3 linked regions of the Lonchura striata genome follow. The protein of the gene in region 1 purifies or fractionates together with the protein of each later gene. This does not show direct contact. Links are inferred from orthologs where the notes say so. Each region holds a gene or a part of one and is shown in the gene's direction. Other genes may lie near its edges.

Evidence for each region.
Region 2: the proteins of PHB1 (region 1) and SLC25A5 purify together in Homo sapiens (affinity purification with mass spectrometry; 3 studies listed by BioGRID and IntAct, with this or other methods). This does not show direct contact. The link is inferred for Lonchura striata from reciprocal best matches to the Homo sapiens genes PHB1 and SLC25A5.
Region 3: the proteins of PHB1 (region 1) and STAU1 purify together in Homo sapiens (affinity purification with mass spectrometry; 3 studies listed by BioGRID). This does not show direct contact. The link is inferred for Lonchura striata from reciprocal best matches to the Homo sapiens genes PHB1 and STAU1.

The regions. Positions count from the first base shown.
Region 1 is NC_134627.1:7,928,003-7,935,134, forward strand, and holds the start of PHB1 (prohibitin 1), read left to right. Parts: upstream 1-4,117; 5' UTR 4,118-4,157; intron 4,158-4,537; 5' UTR 4,538-4,557; coding exon 4,558-4,645; intron 4,646-4,934; coding exon 4,935-5,096; intron 5,097-5,865; coding exon 5,866-6,008; intron 6,009-6,717; coding exon 6,718-6,834; intron 6,835-7,132.
Region 2 is NC_134616.1:8,941,342-8,948,173, forward strand, and holds SLC25A5 (ADP/ATP translocase 2), read left to right. Parts: upstream 1-4,251; 5' UTR 4,252-4,342; coding exon 4,343-4,453; intron 4,454-4,569; coding exon 4,570-5,056; intron 5,057-5,170; coding exon 5,171-5,311; intron 5,312-5,917; coding exon 5,918-6,075; 3' UTR 6,076-6,312; downstream 6,313-6,832. Other genes in the region: SLC25A43 (solute carrier family 25 member 43), read left to right, coding at 993-1,127, 2,173-2,376.
Region 3 is NC_134619.1:614,821-622,422, forward strand, and holds the start of STAU1 (double-stranded RNA-binding protein Staufen homolog 1), read left to right. Parts: upstream 1-4,582; 5' UTR 4,583-4,727; intron 4,728-7,602. Other genes in the region: CSE1L (exportin-2), read left to right, coding at 980-1,061, 1,494-1,640, 2,464-2,695, 3,218-3,307. UniProt on the Homo sapiens protein: Binds double-stranded RNA (regardless of the sequence) and tubulin.

The DNA.
Region 1 (7,132 bases):
CGGGACTCGCCCCTGGCCGGGGCCCGATCGATCCCGGGGCTCGGAACGGGCTCAGGAGGGACCCGCCGGGGTCACCCGGCCGCGGACGAGCACCTGGGACTAATTGCAGGGAATAAATGAGCAATTAAGGGCGCTAGGGCAGGGCTGGAACATCCCAGACCTCCGGCTGACCCCCGGGCGGTATCCCTGGAAACGGCCGCACCGGGATCGGGATGCTCAGCCCGGCCGGCACCGGCGGCACCGGGGCCCTCCGAGCCCCCCCGGCGGCGGAAGCGGCTCCGGCCCCACCGGCAGCTGGGGCGGCCGCACTGAGGCGCCTTTGTCCGGCACAGGGCTGGGTTTACCCGGGGAGAGAAGGGTTTGTCTTGGAGCAGGCAGGATTTACCCGGGGAGGGCAGGATTTGTCCCGGGGAGGGCAGGATTTATCCCGAGGAGGGCAGGATTTGTCCCGGGGAGGGCAGGATTTGTCCTGGGAGGACAGGATTTGTCTTGGAGGGGGCAGGATTTATCCCGAGGAGGGCAGGATTTATCCCGGGAGGACAGGATTTGTCCCGAGGAAGGCAGGATTTGTCCCCGGGAGGGCAGGAATGGAAGCACCGTTAAGGGCCGGTAGCACCGTGGAGAACCGGGCAGCCCCGGGCGGGCAGAACGGGCCGGTCCCGCTGCCCCCGCGGCGCTGCGGGCACCGCCCAGCCCGGCACGGGGGGCTCCGCTCGGGGCTGCACCCGGGTTATCCCCGCTGGCACCGGGGACGGTCCCGCTGCTCCCCAAAACCTCCGCGATCCTCCCACCCACCCCAAACCTGGCCCGCCCGGGGGTCCCGGTGCCCGCCCGGGGTCCCGGTGCCCGCCCGGGGTCCCGGTGCCCGCCCGGGGTCCCGGTGCCCGCCCGGGGGGATTTTTGGCTCGCCCGGGGCTGGCTGAGCGGAAGGCAGGCTGGCTTTTAAAGCAGATTAATTAAGCTGCACTGCGGGGCCAGAGCTCAGAATGCAAACAGCCGTAATTCGATTTCTCTGACTTGCAAATCGCGGCAGGGAACGCGGCCGAAATCACATTAAGGCCGTTTCCACCCCGAGCCGTGTCCTCGCAGGGCTTTAATGCAGTTTCACTAATTGAATTTCAACGCTTATTGAGCTTAATTCGGGTTTGTGCCGGGCGCGGGGCTGGGCTGGGACCCCCCGGGCTGGGCTGGGACCCCCGGGAAAGGCTGGGCTGAGACCCCCGGGAAGGGCTGGGCTGGGACCCCCAGGAAAGGCTGAGACCCCTGGGACCCCCAGGAAGGGCTGAGACCCCCGGGAAAAGCTGGGACCCCCTGGAAATGCTGGGCTGGGACCCCCCGGGCTGGGCTGGGCTGGGTTGGGACCCCCAGGAAGGGCTGAGACCCCCGGGAAAGGCTGGGCTGGGACCCCGGGGAAGGTTTGGGACCCCCAGGAATAGCTGAGACCCCTGAGACCCCCGGGAAGGGCTGAGACCCCCGGGAAAGGCTGGGCTGGGACCCCGGGGAAGGTTTGGGACCCCCAGGAACGGCTGAGACCCCTGGGCTGGGCTGGGCTGGGACCCCCGGGAAGAGCCGGGACCCCCCCTAAGGACGGGCTGGGTGGGAGTGGGATCAGCGCCAGCCCCACACCGGATTTGGGGTGGAAAAACCCCAAATCCCGCCGCCCCCCCCGGGCGTGGCCGCGGCCCGGAGTCCCCGCGGGTCCCCCCGGCCCCGGGGCCGCCCCGGCGCGTTCGTGCCGCGGGGATTTGGGAGCGGCGGAGGCGAAGAGGAGGCGCTTTGTTCCCAGCCCGGGGGACAATGAGCCCTTCTTGGCCCGACGGAAATCCCCAAAACCGGAGCGGCCCGGGAAGGGCCGGGAGGGGCCCCGCGCGGCTCTGGGCCGCGGTTCTGTGCCACCCCCCAAAAACGGGGTTCTGGAGCTGTTTTGGGGTGCGGTTCTGTGCCACCACCCAAAAACGGGGTTCTGGAGCTGGTTTGGGGGTGCGGTTCTGCTGCCACCCCCCAAAAACGGGGTTCTGGAGCTGGTTTGGGGTGCGGTTCTGTGCCACCACCCAAAAACGGGGTTCTGGAGCTGTTTTGGGGTGCGGTTCTGTGCCACCCCCCAAAAATGGGGTTCTGGAGCTGTTTTGGGGTGCGGTTCTGTGCCACCACCCAAAAACGGGGTTCTGAAGCTGTTTTGGGGTGCGGTTCTGTGCCACCACCCAAAAATGGGGTTCTGGAGCTGTTTTGGGGTGCGGTTCTGTGCCACCACCCAAAAAAGGGGTTCTGGAGCTGTTTTGGGGTTCGGTTCTGCTGCCACCACCCAAAAATGGGGTTCTGGCTGAGTTCTGGGGTTCGGTTCTGCTGCCACCACCCAAAATTGGGGTTATGGCTCAGTTCTGGGGTGCGGTTCTGTGCCACCACCCAAAAATGTGGTTCCGGAGCTGTTTTGAAGGTGCAATCCCACAGCCAGCCCCTAAAAAAGCAATCCCAGCCCAATTTTGGGGTGCAACCCCAAGAACGCACTCTCAGCTCAATTTTGGGGGCCTCTATGTCCCCCTGGCCCTTCCTGGGAATCTCCAGCCCCTCGCAGCTGGGAACGGGAATGGGGAGAGCTCATCCCACTTGGGAACGGGAATGTGGGAATGGGAATGTGGGAATGGGAATGTGGGAATGAGAAATGGGAATGGGAATGTGGGAATGGGAATGGGGAAATGGGAATGGGAATGTGGGAACGGGAATGGGAATGGGAACGGGAACGGCAACGGGAATGGGAATGGAAATGTGGGAATGGGGAGAGCTCATCCCGCATGGGAATGGGAACGGGAATGGGAATGGGAACAGGAGTAGGAAAAGGAATGGGAATGGGAATAGAAACGGGAATGAGCAACACGACCCCGGCAGGAACGAGGACGCTGCAAATCCCGAGCCGTAAATCCCAGATTTAATGGGATTTCCCCGCTGGATCCAGCGGGGTCACCTGGCAGCGGAACCCGCCGCGGGCGCGGGGGCGGCGTGGGGATTTTTTCCTCTTTTTTCCCTCTTTTTTCCCCGTTTTTCGGGATTCCCGGAGCCAAAGGGAGAGCGCTGCTTCCCTCTAGCGGCCCCGGGACAGGAGGGGACCGGAGCGGGAACGGCCCCGGGACAAGGGGGGACAGCGAATCCCGGGGTCCGCGGCTCCAGGAGCTGCTGGGAAGGGCCCGAGGGAGGCCACGGGAATGATTTGGGGTCTGGAAAACCTCGGGCGAGCGGAGAGAGGGAAGGGTAGACCGGAGGAGGGAAGGCTGAGAGCAGGAATATCCCACATTTCTGTGGAAATATGTGAAATATCCATAGAAATCTGTCACTGCAGAGGGGATCCCGTCACTGCATGAAAACACCTCAGATATCCATGGAAATATGTCAAATATCCACGGGAATATCGCAAATATCCACGGAAATCTGCGACTGGAGAGATTCCCACCAACACATGGAAATATCTCAGATATCTGTGGAAATCTCTCATTTTGGGAAAGGGATCCCACCAATGCCTGGAAATATCTCAGATATCCGTGGAAATCTCTCATTTTGGGAAATATCTCAGATATCCGTGGAAATCTTTCATTTTGGGAAAGGGATCCCACCAATGCCTGGAAATATCTCAGATATGCATGGAAATCTCTCATTTTGGAAATGGGATCCCACCAACGGATGGAAATATCTCAGATGGCCAGAAGTGAACCCCAAGTCCCCCTCGGCAGGAGGCGGAGCTGGCCCCGAGGGTGGCCGGGACCGGTGACCAGGAAGGGCCGGGGGACATTCCGACCCCGCGGGGACCCTGCCTGGGCAGGTGGCCCTGCCCGGGTGACCTCGGGGGTCCCTGCCCAGCTGCTCTGGCGTTCCGGGGCGGGCAGCGCTGTCCCCGCCCGTGTCCCCCGCCGGTCCCCACGAGCCCCCCAAGCGCCTTCCCCCGCCAGGACTACACCTCCCAAGAGGCAGCGCGCCGCTCCGGCCAATAGCGCGCGGCCTTGCTCAGCCAGCGGGGCACAGCGGAGCCGATAGGCCGGGCGGCAGCGGGCGCGGCAGAGAGAACTACATATCCCAGAGAGCCCCGGGGGGCGCGGGCCAATGAGGAGGGCGCGTCTTGGCGCGGCGCGCAGGCGCGCTGGGCAGGGGGGCGGCGGCGGATTCATGTGGAGGTCAGCGGCGCGGCGGGAGCGGCGGGCGGGGGGCGGCGGTGGGTCCGGGACCGGGAACCGGGAATCGGGAACCGGGCACACAGCCAGGCCTTGCCCCCTGGCGGGCCCCTGCTGCGGGCGAGCGGCCTAGGAGGGAGCGGGCAGGGGGAGGCCTGGGGGGTGCGGGGGGCCCCGGGGGCGGCGGGACCGAACCCGGGGAGGGAGATGGGAGGGAGACCCCCAGGGATGGGGGGACCCCCGGGATGGGGAGAGACCCGGGAATGGGGGGGACCCCCGGGGCTGGGGAGACTCACAGGGCCGAGGAGACCCCTGGGGCTGGGGGGGGACTCTTGGGGCTGGGGAGACCCCCGGGCAGGGCTGAGCGCTGCGGGGCGTCGCAGGCGGGCTCTGGAGCGGTGAGATGGCTGCCAAGGTGTTCGAGAGCATCGGGAAGCTCGGGCTGGGCTTGGCCGTGGCGGGGGGAGTCGTGAACTCGGCGCTTTACAACGGTGAGTGGGGCTGGGTGAGTGGGATGGACTCAGTGAGTGGGACTCGGTGAGTGGGACTCGGTGAGTGCCCCGGGTCTGTGTTTCTGCCCCAATCCTGTTTTCCCCGTGCTTTATCACCCGATAAATCCACACCGAGTCCATGCAGTGCCGCGGGAGCTCCTTCCTCCCAAAGCCTCGGAGCTGCCCCGGGGGCCCCACAGCTCCGCCCGCAGCTCCTCCGGCCTGGGTTGATTAACTCCGCCGTTAATTTCCCGCCGTGCCGCTAATTGCGCGCTCTCTCCCCCCGCAGTGGACGCGGGGCACAGGGCCGTGATCTTCGACCGCTTCCGCGGCGTGCAGGACGCCGTGGTGGGCGAGGGCACGCACTTCCTCATCCCCTGGGTGCAGAAACCCATCATCTTCGACTGCCGCTCGCGGCCCCGCAACGTCCCCGTCATCACCGGCAGCAAAGGTGGGTGCAGGCGCCCTGGGGTGCCCAGGGGTGTCCAGGGCCACACAGGGGCACCCAGGGGTGTCCAGATGCACCCCGGAGCTCCCAGGGGCACACAGGGGTGTCCAGAGGTCTCCAGGGGCATCCAGGGGCACCCAGAGGTGTCCAGGGGCACCCAGGGGTGTCCAGGGGTGTTGTTGTTGAAGCAGGACGGGAATGAAGAGACTCTGACTAGATCAGAAGGCTGTGAGAGTGAAACTCTGATTTATTTAAAATACACTGTTTGTGAGGACTAAATCTATTGGTTGGGAGGGGTCCCTGGAGCTCACCTGGCCCAGGTGACACTGGTGGGGTTTGGGAGGGATCCCTGGAGTTCACCTGGGGTTTGGGAGGGGTCCCTGGAGCTCACTTGGCCCAGGTGACACTGGTGGGGTTTGGGAGGGGTCCCTGGAGCTCACCTGGGGTTTGGGAGGGGTCCCTGGAGCTCACTGGGGTTGGGAGGGGTCCCTGGAGCTCACCTGGCCCAAGTGACACTGGTGGGGTTTGGGAGGGATCCCTGGAGCTCACCTGGGGTTTGGGAGGGATCCCTGGAGCTCACCTGGGGTTTGGGAGGGGTCCCTGGAGCTCACCTGGCCCAGGTGAGGTGGCGGGGCTGGAATTCTCCCCGCAGCAGCGCCGGGCAGGCCGGGGGGGATCGGGGATCCTCGGCAGCTCGTGCTGCTGCCGGAGCGGGGCCGGGGGCGCCGGGGGAGCCCGGCCCCGCTCCCGAGGCGCCGCTGCCGCTCCGCAGACCTGCAGAACGTCAACATCACCCTGCGCATCCTGTTCCGGCCCGTCACGGCGCAGCTGCCGCGCATCTTCACCAGCATCGGCGAGGACTACGACGAGCGCGTGCTGCCCTCCATCACCACCGAGATCCTCAAGTCCGTGGTGGTGAGCGCCCGCGCTGCCCCGGCGCTCCTGGCAGCGTGCTCTCTCCTGGTGCCTCCCATTCCATCCTGTTCCCAGCAGTGTCCGTCCCATTCCATCCCATTCCCAGCAGTTTCCCTCCTGTGCCCAGCAGTTTCCATCCCATTCCATCCCATTCCTAGCAGTTTCCCTCATGTTCCCAGCAGTTTCCATCCCATTCCCTCCTTTTCCCTCCTGTTTCCTCTGTTCCATCCCATTCCCAGTAATTTCCCTCTGGTTTCATCCCATTCCCGGGGGTGCCCATCCCATTCCCAGGAGTGCCCATCCCATTCCCGGGGGTGCCCATCCCATTCCCAGCGGTTTCCATCCCATTCCCGGGGGTTCCCATCCCATTCCCGGGGGTGCCCATCCCATTCCCAGCAGTTTCCATCCTATTCCCAGGGGTTCCCATCCCATTCCCGGGGGTGCCCATCCCATTCCCAGCGGTTTCCATCCCATTCCCGGGGGTGCCCATCCCATTCCCGGAGGTGCCCATCCCATTCCCAGGAGTGCCCATCCCATTCCCAGGGGTGCCCATCCCGTTCCCAGCGGTTTCCATCCCATTCCCAGTGGTTTCCATCTTGTTCCTGGGGGTGCCCATCCTATTCCCAGGGGTTCCCATCCCATTCCCGGGGGTGCCCATCCCATTCCCAGCGGTTTCCATCCCATTCCCTCCGTCCCTCCGTGCCCCCAGGCGCGCTTCGACGCGGGCGAGCTGATCACGCAGCGGGAGCTGGTGTCCAGGCAGGTCAGCGAGGACCTGACGGAGCGCGCGGCCACCTTCGGGCTCATCCTGGACGACGTGTCCCTGGTGAGCCCCGCCGGACGCTCGGACACTCGGACGCTCGGACACGCGGCTCTGCCGCTGCCCCGTCACTCGGGCAGCCCCCGGTGCCTCAGCCCTGCCGTGCTGGGATCTGTCACCCCACAGGAGCTGCTTTGGGATGGGGCAGCAGCTCCACAGGCACCCCTGGAAGCACCAGGAGGGGAAATTCCCACTGGTTCCGCCGCTAAGATATCCAAGGAGGGAGCTCTGCCCTCCCAGCTCCCCTAGAATTAAAACTGATCCCACTGGGAGCGCAGCCTGTGCGGGAGGTGACTTTGTTTCT
Region 2 (6,832 bases), on another chromosome or scaffold:
GATACCCATATTCATCCACTAATTACCTGTACAAGCCCCATTTTTATCAAACTTCTATCTTAGGATGATCAGTTTGCAAGGCATCAATCTGTGTCCTGGGGCCCCTGACACTGAAGTGTCATTTGTCAGTTGAGTGTCACTTGTGTCAAACACAAGTGTCACTTGTGCTTGAGTGAAACCCTGATTTGTCAATGCAAGATAAATCCATGGCTGCATGTGCACAGATGGATGAGGATGAGATTATTCAAGGTCAGGTTATCCTGTCTGTGCTAATGCAGTAGGAGATTAATGAAGAAGGATTTAGCTGTTAAAAATGACCAACTACACTTCTTCCATGTGAACAGACACTGTATTGCAGTTAGAAGTTCAGCTGCCAGCCAGCAGGATTCTCCCCAGGTAACTTTAACTAGTACCTATCAGCTGAGCACATTGATATGGGAGCATGGGCACCAACTGCTCACCTGCAGCCCTTGGTGGGCCTGAACAGCCTGGGCTGAAATCTCCATCCTTCCATTTCTGCTGTGCTGCTGCTCCTCAGCCTGTAGTGCAGTTCATGCTTCTCACAGCAGTGCAGGCACAGCCTCAGCAGCCAGAGACAAGTCAGCTGGTTTGATCAGGGGTACAGGAAGGCAGTGTGGCTCCAACCTTCCCTCTCATAGTGTTCCACTGCCAGGAGTGTGAAATAGCTCTACCTGGACCTGAGCAGTTGGCATGGGGCTGATGGGATGTGTGGCTCTGGTTCAGGTGGTTTGTCCTCAAAGAGTGGGATTTATTTCTAGTAGTGGCATGGTGCAAAAGGAGGCACTGTGTGAAATTACTGTTCACTTTCATACCTATCAAAGAGTGAGTTCTTTCCCTTTTTAATTTATATTTTAATGCAAAACTGGGAGGAATCCAGATCTGTCTGTTGAAACCTGGTGTTGACTGTTCCTTATATACAAGGATGGAGAAAATAATTGTTGTTCTAAATCCCTCTGGGTGTCTCTTGACAGGCTCAGAGTCCTTGGCTTCCCCACTATGGAGGAGTTGATGTCCATTTTACTGGCATGACTGACTGCTTCCGGCAAACTGTGAAGAACAAAGGTGTGCTTGGGCTTTGGAGTGGACTCACACCCAGTCTGCTCAAGGTGAGGTGTTGCTTTCATCCCAGTCAAACACTATCCCGAAGGAATCAAGACAGTTTTGGGCAGTTGGGGATAGAAAGCTTATGACATACTTTTGTACTTAGTAGCTTATAGATGACAGAATCAGTGACAAAACAGGTTATAAAGCAGCCTTGGAACTTGGTTTGGTTGTATTTCTCCAAATACAAGCTTGGTTTCTAGATGTCACCACTTGAAAGTTCATTTCAACATCTTTGAAGGGGGTGCTCCTAACACACAAGGTGTGGAATGGATGAGGGATTGCAAGCAATCCACTTAGGACAGCTAAACAAGTTCTCCTGACCTGAGCTTCAGTGATTTGATATGTTGTAGTGAGCTGTAAAAGAAGTGTGCTTGTATAAGCCACTTGCCCAGAAGTCCAAAAGCAGTGCTTTCAGCCAGCTATTTAATACATGTGCTTCAGTTACTGCAGATTTGCTGAGTTGAAGACATGAAATAAAGCATGGTAGCTTAAACAGAAGGTAATTTAATTTACATAAATACATTTTACAGTGCTGTGATGAGGATTACCTACAGAGAGCACTATAGGTAAGCTAATGAGTGCTAATTGAGTGACAGTAGGTTTGATTGTCATGGCCTGCCTGTGACTGCCTTGCCTTGGCTGATACGAAGCCAGTGGCCCTGGAGCTGCTGGTTCTGCATGGGGCAAGAGAAGAAAATTGTGGAGTCACTCCAGTGTGTGTAGAATAAATTCCACATTTCCTGCCAGGATTTGCTGAGATTGCTTAGGATGTGCTTGGGTATTTGACAAGTTCTGGTAATCTATAGGGTAGCACAGACCTTCTTCCTCACAATATTGCTATAATTAGTTATGTAACAACAATAAACTCCTACTGTTAGCACACTGCAGCTGCCAGTATAGCTTGAGATGAGACTCTGATTTTATATAAATGAGGACAAGGTCTATTATTAGATCAGATCTGAAGTCCTAGAAGTTCCCTTTTTTTAAAACATCTATGCTATGGATGTTTTGAGTCTAATTTTTTTTCTTATATTGCTTTTTTATCAGATTGTGCCATACTTCGGTGTTATGTTTAGCACCTTTGAATTCTGCAAGCGGGTTTGTCTCTACAGAAATGGTTATATTGAATCTCCTTTAAATTACAAGCTAACACCTGGCGTTGACCAGAGTTTACACCCACAAGAACTGAGAGAATTGAAGCTCCTCCGAAGGGAAAATTTTGAGCCAAGGAAATCAGCACTTGAAAACTGACATCAGAGTGTCCACTGCAGATACACAAATACCTTTCTTGAGGGACTTTGCAAGAAAGACATGCTGAGCTACAGGTACTGACATTTCAATGGACTGCATGATTTTTGTAGTGAGACACCTGTGATAGGAAAGAATAAATCTGTATTGTATTTGCTGAATGGATGTAAAGAATATGTCTGGCAAGCACATACTGAAGAGGAAAGATGCAACTAGTTTGAAAACTCTATACTACTGGAACTTGAAATGGCATTAATTTAGGTGCTTTTTAAAACTGAATAGCCATTTGAGATTAAACCAAGTTCAGAAAGGCAAGAGAATAGAAATGAGATTATAAATTGTCTCCAAAAACATTAAGAAAATGGATTTTCATAAAGCAATCTGAGATACCAAGTCAGCTAAAAATAATAAAACAGAATAAAATACATACAACATGCAAGAATTTCTACTGAAATCTCCAGGCTTTTTAGTAATACTGCCTAGTAATGGTGTTTCTTTCTCTGTGTCTGTTTTCCCATGGGCACAGGGCAGGTAATAATACTGAGACTTACTGGACATGTATGGATATGGAGATGTGAATTGTAAGCATGTTGGGGAGGAAAGAATTTCTTGCCTTGTCCAAGCATACTTGTATGTTTTTTACTAACACTGTATTTCTAAATAGATTTGAAAGATTGGGTACATATGAATGTCTGATCAACTCTTCAAACCTTTGAAGAGTCAAGTGAGTCAAAGTTATCTCTAACTTGTTTCTGATGTGCTACTACCACCTTTGTATCATAGTGCATTCCTACGACCTATCAAGCACTACCTAACCTTTTATCAACCAAGCCTGGCCTTTGTAATCACAAATACATGTGATAAATCCCCAAAAGGCAGCACTAAAATATTTAAGATGTCACTGAAAGAAGGCCCTTCATCAGTGGAGCACTAACGTGCAATGGTGTATGACCATGAAGAACCAGTCAGCAGCAAGGCTAAATTCTTGGACAGGTGAAGTTGTACTCGAGTGACATTTGGATGCCGCTGGGTGATGGGGGGCGGGTTGTACCTGCTGAGCTTCTGTCTGAGCATCTCAGCTGAGCTCAGCACTGCACAGGGGCTCCACCCACGGATCAGGAGCTCGGTCACTGCCGGTGTGCGGGTGACAGCATCCCGAGGGGTGCCCGGGCGGCTCCCGGCAGCGCTGAGAGAGATGGGGGCCTGGCCGCCTCCGTGGGTGAGGCAGCCTCAGAGCCCGCCCCGATCCAGCCCGCGCCATGGCCGTGCTGTGCCGTGCCCGCCTGCTCTCGCCACGGCATCGGGATGGCCCCGCCACCGCCGTGCGCTGTGCGCTGTGCCCGGGGCAGGGACAGGCGGCGTCACCGGCCAGGGCCGCATTTACGGCCTGCCCGCGGTGCTGGTGGGATCCTCCACGCCGTGATGCTCCGTCCCGGCGTGCTCCATCCCGGGATGCCCCGTCCCGGTGTGCTCCATCCCGGGATGCCCCGTCCCGGGGATGTCCATCCCGGGATGCCCCGTCCCGGGGATGTCCATCCCGGGATGCCCCGTCCCGGCGTGCTCCATCCCGGGATGCCCCGTCCCGGTGTGCTCCATCCCGGGATGCCCCGTCCCGGGGATGTCCATCCCGGGATGCCCCGTTCCGGTGTGCTCCATCCCGGGATGCCCCGTCCCGGGGATGTCCATCCCGGGATGCCCCGTCCCGGTGTGCTCCATCCCGGGATGCCCTGTCCCGAGGATCTCCATGCCGGGCTCCCCTCACCGCGGCCATGTGCCCCCCACCGCTTCCAACGGCGGCCCCGTCCCCCTGCGGCGGCCACGCCCCCTGCCGCAGCCAATGGGCGTGCGGGCCGTGCGCCCCGCCCGCGCGCGCGCTCCCGGCCCCTATATTAACGGCCATTGCGGCGCCCCCTCAGCGCCGCTCCCGCCTTCTCGCCCGGCATCGCCTCCCGCTCGCGCCGCTCCCGCCATGACCGATGCGGCCGTGTCCTTCGCCAAGGATTTCCTCGCCGGCGGGGTGGCAGCCGCCATCTCCAAGACAGCTGTCGCCCCTATCGAGAGGGTCAAGCTGCTGCTGCAGGTGAGCGCCGGCGGCCGGGGCCGTTCCAAGGTCGCCGCAAGGAGAGGGCGGGCGGCGTTGGTGGGCCGGGGGCTGGCGGGGGAGCGGCGCTGACAGCGGCATCTCGGCCCCTGCAGGTGCAGCACGCCAGCAAGCAGATCTCCGCCGACAAGCAGTACAAGGGCATCATCGACTGCGTGGTGCGCATCCCGCGGGAGCAGGGCATCCTCTCCTTTTGGCGCGGCAACCTGGCCAATGTGATCCGGTACTTCCCCACCCAGGCCCTCAACTTCGCTTTCAAGGATAAGTACAAGCAGATCTTCCTGGGCGGCGTGGACAAGCGAACCCAGTTCTGGCGGTACTTCGCCGGTAACCTGGCATCCGGGGGTGCCGCCGGCGCCACCTCCCTCTGCTTCGTCTACCCCCTTGACTTTGCCCGAACCCGCCTGGCAGCGGATGTGGGTAAAGCCGGGGCCGACCGGGAGTTCAGTGGGCTCGGTGACTGCCTGGTCAAAATCTTCCGCTCGGATGGCATTCGGGGCCTGTACCAGGGCTTCAGTGTCTCTGTCCAGGGCATCATCATCTACAGAGCCGCCTACTTTGGCATCTACGACACTGCCAAGGGTAGGTTGACCCAAACGGCACAAAAACAGAGCTGTAGGCTGCGGCAGGCCTGAAGTGCATTTCGATAGTGCTGGTGGCTTACCTGCCGTTCTCATCAAAGCCTCTCTCCTGCAGGCATGCTTCCAGACCCAAAGAACACCCACATTGTTGTCAGCTGGATGATTGCTCAGACCGTCACTGCTGTCGCTGGTTTGGTCTCCTACCCTTTTGATACGGTTCGTCGTCGCATGATGATGCAGTCTGGCCGGAAAGGAGGTAAGTTTCTTCCTCGCTGTATAAGAGTTATTGGGCATCCCTGAATCAATAGCTGGTGGTGGAGCTGAAGTGAAGGCACAGTGGCTTGGCTTTCATCAGCCTGTGTAGATATCCTCATCTCTTGTAAGCAGGGATGTAGGAGGGGCTGCAGAAGCAGGTGACAGGAAGGAACACGAATGGGTCAGCCTGTGCAGCACACCTGTAAGGTGGCATGCACAAGTCAGGTATATGTCAGTAGGTAGGAGGAGCAGAAACCACCCTTGGATGTTGCAAGTCAATGTCTCTGGGACAAGAAAATACAGCCTCCATTGTAGGCACAGCCTGGCCAACTGTGCGGTAGCTTTTGGGTTTGGAAGTGTTGGTGTCAAAGCAAGGAGTTGCAGCCTTCTGCTTGAACTGGTCCTCCCAGTGTCTCTCAGAGACAATGCAGCAGCAGCACCATCTCTCCTGGGCAGTCTCGTCCTCTGATGTGCTAGTATTGGAGAAAGTCAGCCAAGAAATGGGATGCACTTGAGGTTGTAAAGCTAGTAGATACATGAGGCTGTTTCTGACTTGGATGTTGGGGGTCGTGGGCATCCAGTTGCTAAAGCTGTCTGTCTCCTGCAGCTGACATAATGTACTCCGGCACTCTTGACTGCTGGCGGAAGATTGCCCGGGATGAGGGCTCCAAGGCCTTTTTCAAAGGTGCATGGTCAAACGTACTCCGAGGAATGGGTGGTGCTTTTGTCTTAGTCCTCTATGATGAAATCAAGAAGTATACATAAGTTGTTTCCTATTGTGAACTGGCATGTTGTTCTGTGTAGTCTATGACTGTTCACGGACTTGTTTGAAAACCATCTAGTTACTAAACAGTGGCAGCTGATGTTTGTACAGGTTGGCATGGGGCAGAGGTGACTGCCTGCCCTATCTTTATCAAACTATTCCCCCGATGGGACTCATGATGGTTTCTATTTCAGTCACTCCTGCTTAAAGAGTACAGAGAAATAAAAATCTGAAACCAATTTTCCTCATCTCATGTTTGTTCTTACAGCATTTGAAGTATGAGGGGGTTGGGAGTCTCAGCGGTTGTAGAGAAGGAGGAAGATGAACCACCTCTATCCTGCAAGCCTCAGAACCTGCTAAGTACTGGCAGGTAAACACAGTGCAGGCTGCCAAGGAAGCTAGGTAGTGTTTCCTCCCCAGGGGAAGCCAGTAGTGTAGGCTTGAATGGGGACTGGCAGCTCTGAAGGGCTCACCCAGCTGACCTCCCTGAGACTCAGCTCTCCAGAGATGATGGACTGAGTGTGTGCCATAGTCCTGTCTCTGGCCTGTCTGCTCCTTGGAGCTCATGAAACCTGATTTTGGTGGTGCCAAGTGCCTTAATTGTGTGTAAAGCACAGCACTCCCTATGGCACTGGATGTCTGGGAGGCTGGAAGAATGTGTAAGGGAGGGGCAGAGCTTGGAGTCATGTTCTCTCCCTTAGAAAGTGAGCTACCTAATTGGGCATGTAGGTAGCCAGAGGACAGAAGTGCAGTGAATTG
Region 3 (7,602 bases), on another chromosome or scaffold:
TGTCCTGTTGTGCCCTGGAGGGACAGTGGTGACTCCTAGGACTTGCTCCAAATTCTTTGTCATCAAGAGGGGTGTATGGGGCAGTCACCATAGCAGGTGACACTTTAATGAAATTCAGGGAATGGAATTAAAATAATGAACAAGACTTGTTTTTTTCTCTTCCTTTCCTAGTGTATGATGTCATTATTGAAAATGTCTCCATTTAATCTCCAACCAATAGCAGCAAATTTTCCCTCTGGTGCAGCACAGCAATCTGACCACACGTCCTGTAGTTACCTCTAGTTGTGTGTTAGGGCTGTGAAGTGTTCCATGCTTGTGTCATTTTGGCCTTAGTATGACTAAATTTATTGATAAGGTTTTATGTTGAACTGGCAAAATTGTGACAGATTATTGCAATACATAATCTGATTAATAATCCTGTCACAATAAGATTGTCAGACTTATTAAATTATTTTAATGATACTATCACTACCCAAATTTCACAGTGTCCGTAACTTAACCCTATAAAATCCTATGAGTGTCACCTGATAGGAACAAAAATGATAGAGTTGCTTATAATGGTCTTCCACAAATAAAGTGGAAGTGGTGCTTTTAATATACTGCACCTGTGCAAAGGGGCTCATACCTCAGTCTGTATTGTGTGAAGTTTTCCGCTAAAAATAGAGTTTTTTGAAGAGTTTCTTTGGTTCTTGATCTGAAAAAAAATTGCAAATGACTTTTCTAATGTCTTTTTGTAACTGCTATAAGGGGAAAAAGGAATAACTCTTGTGTACACCTTGTTTTTTTGTTGTGGTATGTGAAAAGATCAGTTTTTATGCAAATTTCCAGGCAGCAAGTTAATGTACTTCACTAAACTGAATGCTTATAAAGACTGCAATTTCTGTCCCCTTGGAAATCTTGGAATGTATTTTTTTGCTGACTCTAAAGCTATTCTTTTGTTTTCCTGTTAAGTTTTACTTTGATTTTTTTCTTGTTACAGGTTTCCTTGTCTTCATTAACTTGTATTGTGTAAGATATGGGGCATTAGCTCTGCAAGAAATATTTGACAGCATACAGCCAAAGTTAGTATGGTTTTTTTGTTTGGGTTATATTTAATACTGCTGTGTTATTTTTATCTTTTGAAGTAAGGAAGAGTTGTCTGTTTAGCTAGAATGTCAGAGTACATTAGTCACTAATTTGACTGGCTAAATGTTTCTCTTAATGCGGTTCATTTATTTGTCTAGAAAATCTTTTTTTCTGAATTTCTGACCACAGTTCCTTGCTGATAGTTCAAGTTATAATCTAAGAAGATTATAAAAAGGAAAGATTGATTTTTTTAGTTGTTGTCCTTAGTGAAAAGTTTGTATGTTCAAATGTTTACTGCAACAGGGCAGCATCCTAACAAATTACCTAGTTGTTTCTCTTCTCTAGTGATTCACATTGTTTCTGATTCTCTTTTGTCACCATAAGGCTAATGAGTCTTTCTAATACTTCTTCTCTCAATGCCTCCATAGGATGTTTGGAATGGTGTTGGAGAAAATTATAATTCCAGAAATCCAGAAAGTGTCTGGACAAGTTGAAAAGAAAATCTGTGCTGTTGGCATTACAAAAATCTTAACAGAATGTCCTCCCATGATGGACACTGAGTACACCAAACTGTGGTAGGTATCACACTTCTTCAGATTGTGCTGGTGAGGCTGTTTGAGTTATTGAAAATGGGAGCTCAGACCAAAATACATCTTTCTTGGAAACTCCATTGTGATCTCCTCAGAGCCACAAGGCTGTTTTCAGCCTTTCATCCTGCTTCTGTTTCTCAACAAATGAAACTGTATTTTCAAAGAGGATGACAGAGCTGGTTTGAGATGTTTTTGATGGAGGCAGCACGGATTTGGCTAGCTGGACCTGCATTTAGGGAAATACACTGCTTTCCTCCAGCTTGTATTCTTTCTGAAAAGCTAGCCCCAGTTTTGACGTACAGCTCTTCTGGTCAGGAGAGCTGAGCATATTCGTAATGTGGCAGAGAAACTGTAATATCTTAGCTTGAGAGTGGAATTCTGGGGAGAGCTACCAGGGACGTTTGGTTGTCAGCCAGTCCAGCAGTCAAGCATGCCCAGTAATTTGAATTTAGTGGCAATCACTGGATCCCAGACTAGATCCCAAACTAGAACTTTTAAAGTACACAGAGGAAAGTTGTGATCTGGAAAATCATGGCTCTTTTCAGATATGTTTAATGACAATTTGACCTGATAAATACATACATTGCTCATGCTGTTGATAGGTGTACTCACATTATGCCTGTAAAATATTGAGACCCACAACTCTCCTGGTCCAGCATGCCTTGGGCATTTACAATTTCAGTAGCCAAGCAAGTACCTGCAAAGGCTAAATTATAAGGTGTTCCAAATAACTTGAGGGTCCTTGTAAAATAGCCCGTGCTAACATATTCTGAGCACTCCAGTTTTGCCCTCCCCTCTCTGCTCCCAGGATTCCTTTGCTGCAGGCCCTCATTGGCCTCTTTGAGCTACCGGAGGATGACACAATCCCTGACGAGGAGCACTTCATTGACATAGAAGATACTCCAGGCTATCAGACTGCCTTCTCCCAGCTGGCCTTTGCTGGGAAGAAAGAGCACGATCCTGTAGGACAAATGGTGAACAATCCTAGAATCCACCTGGCACAGTCTCTGCACAAACTGTCCACGGCGTGTCCGGGCAGGGTAGGTGACTTGTGCACTTGCATGCTGATGCTGCATTCTACAGAGGATGGGTCTCTCTGCTAAAGCTGGATAATCTGCAAAGTGAAGTAGGTCCTAACTACCATGCAAGATAGTGCTGTGTCCAATTCTTCATTGGAATAGAGCTTTTGTAAGGTTTTTCCTTAGGAGCCTTAGAAAGGCTTTATTTTCACAGCATGTAATTTTGCAATAAGCTTAAATATGCCATTTTAAAAAGAAAATTTACACACTTGATGGCCTATAGCTAATATGTGTCTCGAGTTTGGTTGCATGCACTTGCTGAATTCAGGTAGCTCATACAAAATTAGACAAGGTGAGTGTACAGTGAACTCTTTTAGCCCATAGCATGTTTGTGTTCCCCTCGATTTTGGTAAGTAAAGATTGCCTGCTGCTTTCCCCGTGGGTAACTGCGGCTCTGAGTCTGGCTTTGTGCTGTGAGTGACTGCAGGAGGCAGCAGGGGCTTCGTGTTCCACTCATGACACCTCTGCTCCACCTGTGCCCAGGTCCTGTCCATGCTGAGCACCAGCCTGAACGCAGAAGCGCTGCAGTACCTCCAGGGATACCTCCAAGCTGCGAGTGTGAGTCTGCTCTGAGCTGCAGAGGCTCCTCAGCAAGACAGAACCTGCTTTCTTACGCAGAGGGTGGACACTGACTGTTCTATAGCAGAGCCCAGACAACATGAAAAAGCTGCTTGAAATTGTATTGCAGATTCCATCTTGTAAAAGATGAGTGTGGCTTTAAGCTGAAACTGAAGAATTTGATGGTTTGTGTACTCATAGATAAAGGTGGCTAATTTCCATTCCCAGTTTAATTTCAAAGGGAATAGTCATAGCAGTTTGTTATGGGATTGATTTGAAATCTGCAGTGTTTGGATAATATTTGGAAATGTGTGGAGAGCCCTGGCTGTAGAAACTCACTTCAGTGACTAAAATTCCTTTTAATTTTAATGTTGTCCTTTGTATTTCTTTTGTCTTTCCTTAAACTTTATCTGAATTGTGAATAAATAAGTACTTGTTTAAAATGCTTGTCATTGTGCACTTACTGTTTCAGAAAACTATAGCTCTTTTAAAAAAAGATGTTTTACACTTAAGATAGAATATGAAATAGTGGGACTGTGAGGGTTTTTCTTTACACAATAGCTGAAGTGCACTGTAGGATCATGGAGAGCAAACCTACAACTCTGGGAGAAGAGCAGCGCGGTTGTCACTGGCTGCAGGAGGCTCAGATGCTGTCAGGACCTGCACGGAGGGCAGGTGCTGTTCCTGGGAGCGGGATCAGGCTCCAGGGGGGTTTTCCTGCCCTGAGAGTGGCATCGCGTGAGGGCTGCATAGCCTTGGAGTACTTTTCCTTCAGCCGCGTTTTGAACTGTGAGATTTTGTTAAATGCTCCTCCCGCTCCCTCCTGCTGCGGGACCGCCCCGGCGGCGGCTGCGCCCGCTGGTGCCGCCTTTCCTTCGCGGGGGCGCGGCGGCGAGGAGACCGCCCGCGTTGGATGGAGTGGCCCGCATTGGATGGAGTGTGGCCCCACTGGATGGAGTGTGGCCCGCGTTTGGTGGAGAGCGGCCCGCGTTAGGTGCCGTGTGCAGTGTGCCCGCTTTCCGTGCAGGGCCGGGCCGGGCCGGGCGGGGCCGGAAGCGGTGGCGAACGCAGCCGCACCGCGCGGCCCGGTCCCGCGCGGGGCACGCCGGGAGCTGTAGTTTCTCGCTCTGCGTCTCCCGCGGAGCACGCCGGGGCTCGTAGTCGCGGCGGAGGAGGCGGGGCTCCCGGCAGGGCTGCGCGCCCATTGGCCAGGGGCGCGGCGAGGGGCGGTGTCTCGGGGGCTGGCTCGGTGCCCATTGGCCGCGCGGAGGCCCCCGCCCCGCGCGGTGCCGTCAGTTCCGGCGGGCCGCGCCGCCCCGCTCATTCTCTTTGGTGTTTGCCCTGTGCCGCCGGTCCCGGCCCATGGACTGAGCCCCGCCGCTGCCGCCGGCCCATGGACTGAGCCCCGCCCCGGCCGGAGCCGCGCCCCGCGCAGGTGAGGGCCGCGGGGGGCCCGGGCCCGGCGGGGCCGCGGGCGGGGGGCGGCGGGGCCTGGCGGGCCGGGCCGGGCCCGCGGGGAGGGGGCGGCCGGAGCCCCCCGCCCGCTCGGGGCTCGCCCTGTGCCGCTCCCGGCCCGGGGCTCATCCCGTGCGGCCGGACCGTGCCGCTCCCGCGGCGGCGGGGCCGGGAGTCCGCCCCGGCGGCCAGCGGGACCGGAGCGCCGCGGGCCGGCACCGGCACCGGCGGCCCGACCCGCGGGGGAAATGTCAGAGCCGCCCCGGGCGGGCCGTGACTGCGACTCCGGGCGTCCCGGAGCGGCGGCGCGTACCGGGGCCACTGCTGCACGCCGCTCCCGGCGCGGCTCCCGGGGCAGCGCAGCCCGGTCGGCTCCCGGCCCCGGGCCGCGGCCGTGCCCGCCGAGAGCCCGCAGCCAGCGGCGTCCGGGCCGAGCCGTCCGGGGGGACTGCGGGCGCAGCGCAGGGGACGGCAGCGGGGACAGCGCCGGCCCCTCCCGGCGCGGCCGAGCGGGCAGCCCCGGCGTTCCTGCAGTCCCGGCGCTGCTGCACGTTCCCTTTCCCTGGTCCCGAGCAGAACGCTGCTGCAGGATCCCTTCTCCCGTTTCCGAGCAGAACGCTTTTCCGTGCCGTGCACAGCAACAGGTTCTGTCCGGGGCTGGCCCCTGCTCGCAGTCTGTCCCGGCGGTGCAGCTCCGGGCGCTCCGTCCCGGGATGCTGCCCTGCAGTGCCAGAGCCCTTGCTGCGTGCTCCTGGCGTTCCTTTGTGGGCAGGTTTAGGGCAAACCCGGGAGGAACATCCTTTGCAATGTCAGGGAAGCCTAGGTGTATAAACATATATATACACACACATATTGGTGAACTTAAATACCTGAATGAAGTCTATGCTCTGCTTTTGGAATGGTATATTTATAAAATCTTGTTTCCTCTAACTGGAACGTGCAAGTGTACTGCACAGTTCCCTTGCTCAAACTGGAGGCAATGTTTTGGGTTTGTTTTTTTAATACTAGTGGTCGTGAGAATTTGAGTTTTGATTATGCAGCTGTGGCTGCAATATAATAAAGTGATTTCTGGTTTGTCTGTTGATTATTTCATACATGCAACAAATGTGTGTTCTGACTTTTACAGAGATTCACTCAAGGTCTCTCACATCTTGATGAGAATATAAAAAGCCCAGAGGCTGAGATTTTTACTATATTTTCTATTTTTTGAAGTTGTATCACAAACTTATTTCCAAAGTGTTCTAAAAGGATCCATGCAAGAAACAATGTCTTTTTAAGCAGCCACTCTGTTCAAGAGTTTTTCATAACATCATTTTTGCACTACCAGTACAAGTCAGTCAAAATGTGTTTTGTGGCAAAATTATTCATAGGTTGAAATAAATTTGAAGTGATATGACTGTACAAAGTCAGAGCAAAACTGGAATTGCTTTGTGCCTTTCAGACCTTCCTGAAGAACAGCAGCTTTATTTTGGAGACAAATGAACATTCCAAAAGCCCTTCTTCTGGCTCCTTTGGCCAGGGTCCTTGCCAGGGTTGGTTATTTCACTAGAGGGGCTGGAGATGCCCCAGGACACGCAGGAGATCTGGGCACGCTGGCTCTCAGCAGTGTCCGTGGGCTCTGTGAGCTGTTCTACTGCAGGGAAAAAGCCAAAATCCCTGAGCTGTTTTGTCACAACACTAACTGAGCTAGAAGTTTATTCATTGTGTTACTTCCTGGTTTATCAATTTGCTTTGTTTGGAACCATCTGGTTTATGTGTATGTTTGGTAATTCTCTCTTTTCATTCAGCTTTTACTTTCCAATTTCAGCTTTTCTTCTCTTATTAATAATCCATATCTTGGCTCCTAAACTACTTTGCATAACATTCAGTGCTTGTGCCCTTACCAAAAAGAGCAACATCTCTTTCTACAGTGTTACTTTTGGGAAGGACCCTGTCTTGCAGAATTGTTGCAGAAGATTTATCTAAGAAGAAAAGATTGTTCAACCAGTATTTTACACTTTGTGCAGATAGCCTGAATTCTGTAAAATGTAGTAATTGTTCATCAATTTATAGTGAGACTTTCCAGTTGTAAATAGATGCTGTTAAACGCTGTTGCAGCAGCTTGAGAATCTTATGTTGCATGTTGCAAAGCTACCCCTAATGTGGGTTTTTCAAAGCTATTCTAGGTAACAGCATCTCAACAAATCTCCTGGAGTTTGTGGCTATTTATTTTTTGTGCTCAGAGTAGTCGATGGTTGTGTGAGGCATTTGTCCTGCTGCTCAGCTGCTGTGCCAGGTGCTGGTGGGGCAGAGCGGGGAGAGCGTGCAGGCAGGGTGGGGACGGGGGCACGGTAGCGGGCACAGGGAGGTGTCAGGGCCTGCTGAGGAGCAGCCACCTTCTGTGTGCCAGTCCTGACAGGGTGGAACTGTTCTCTCAGGGTTTAGCCTCCTGTTTGCACGCGCTTCTCGCAGCTCAGGGCAGCCTGTGGCGGGCGGTGTGAGGTGAGTGCTGCTGTCCGGCAGAGCCAGCCCCTCGTGTGCCTGGGCCAGGTGCACAGCAGTGTGAGCAGTGCTGGGAGTGCGCCCCGAGGGCCTGAGTGCAGGGCTCTGTCTGTCCCTCTGCAGAGCAGGGCTGCCAGCGCAGCCTCCTGCGTGCCTGGCATGGCCTGCAGTGGCCTGCAGGACCTGGCAGGTCCTTGCCACCGGCGGGGACCCCTCTGTCAGCAGAGCAGGGCGTGCAGTGTGACTGTCAGGAGCGCTTTTCTTGGTGCATTTTACACCCATTGCCTCTCGTTCTGTCACTTTAGCCACACAGAACAGATTGTTCTTTCCCACTCCAAAATCCTTTCAATTCCATGAACTCCTGGTTCTCAGGC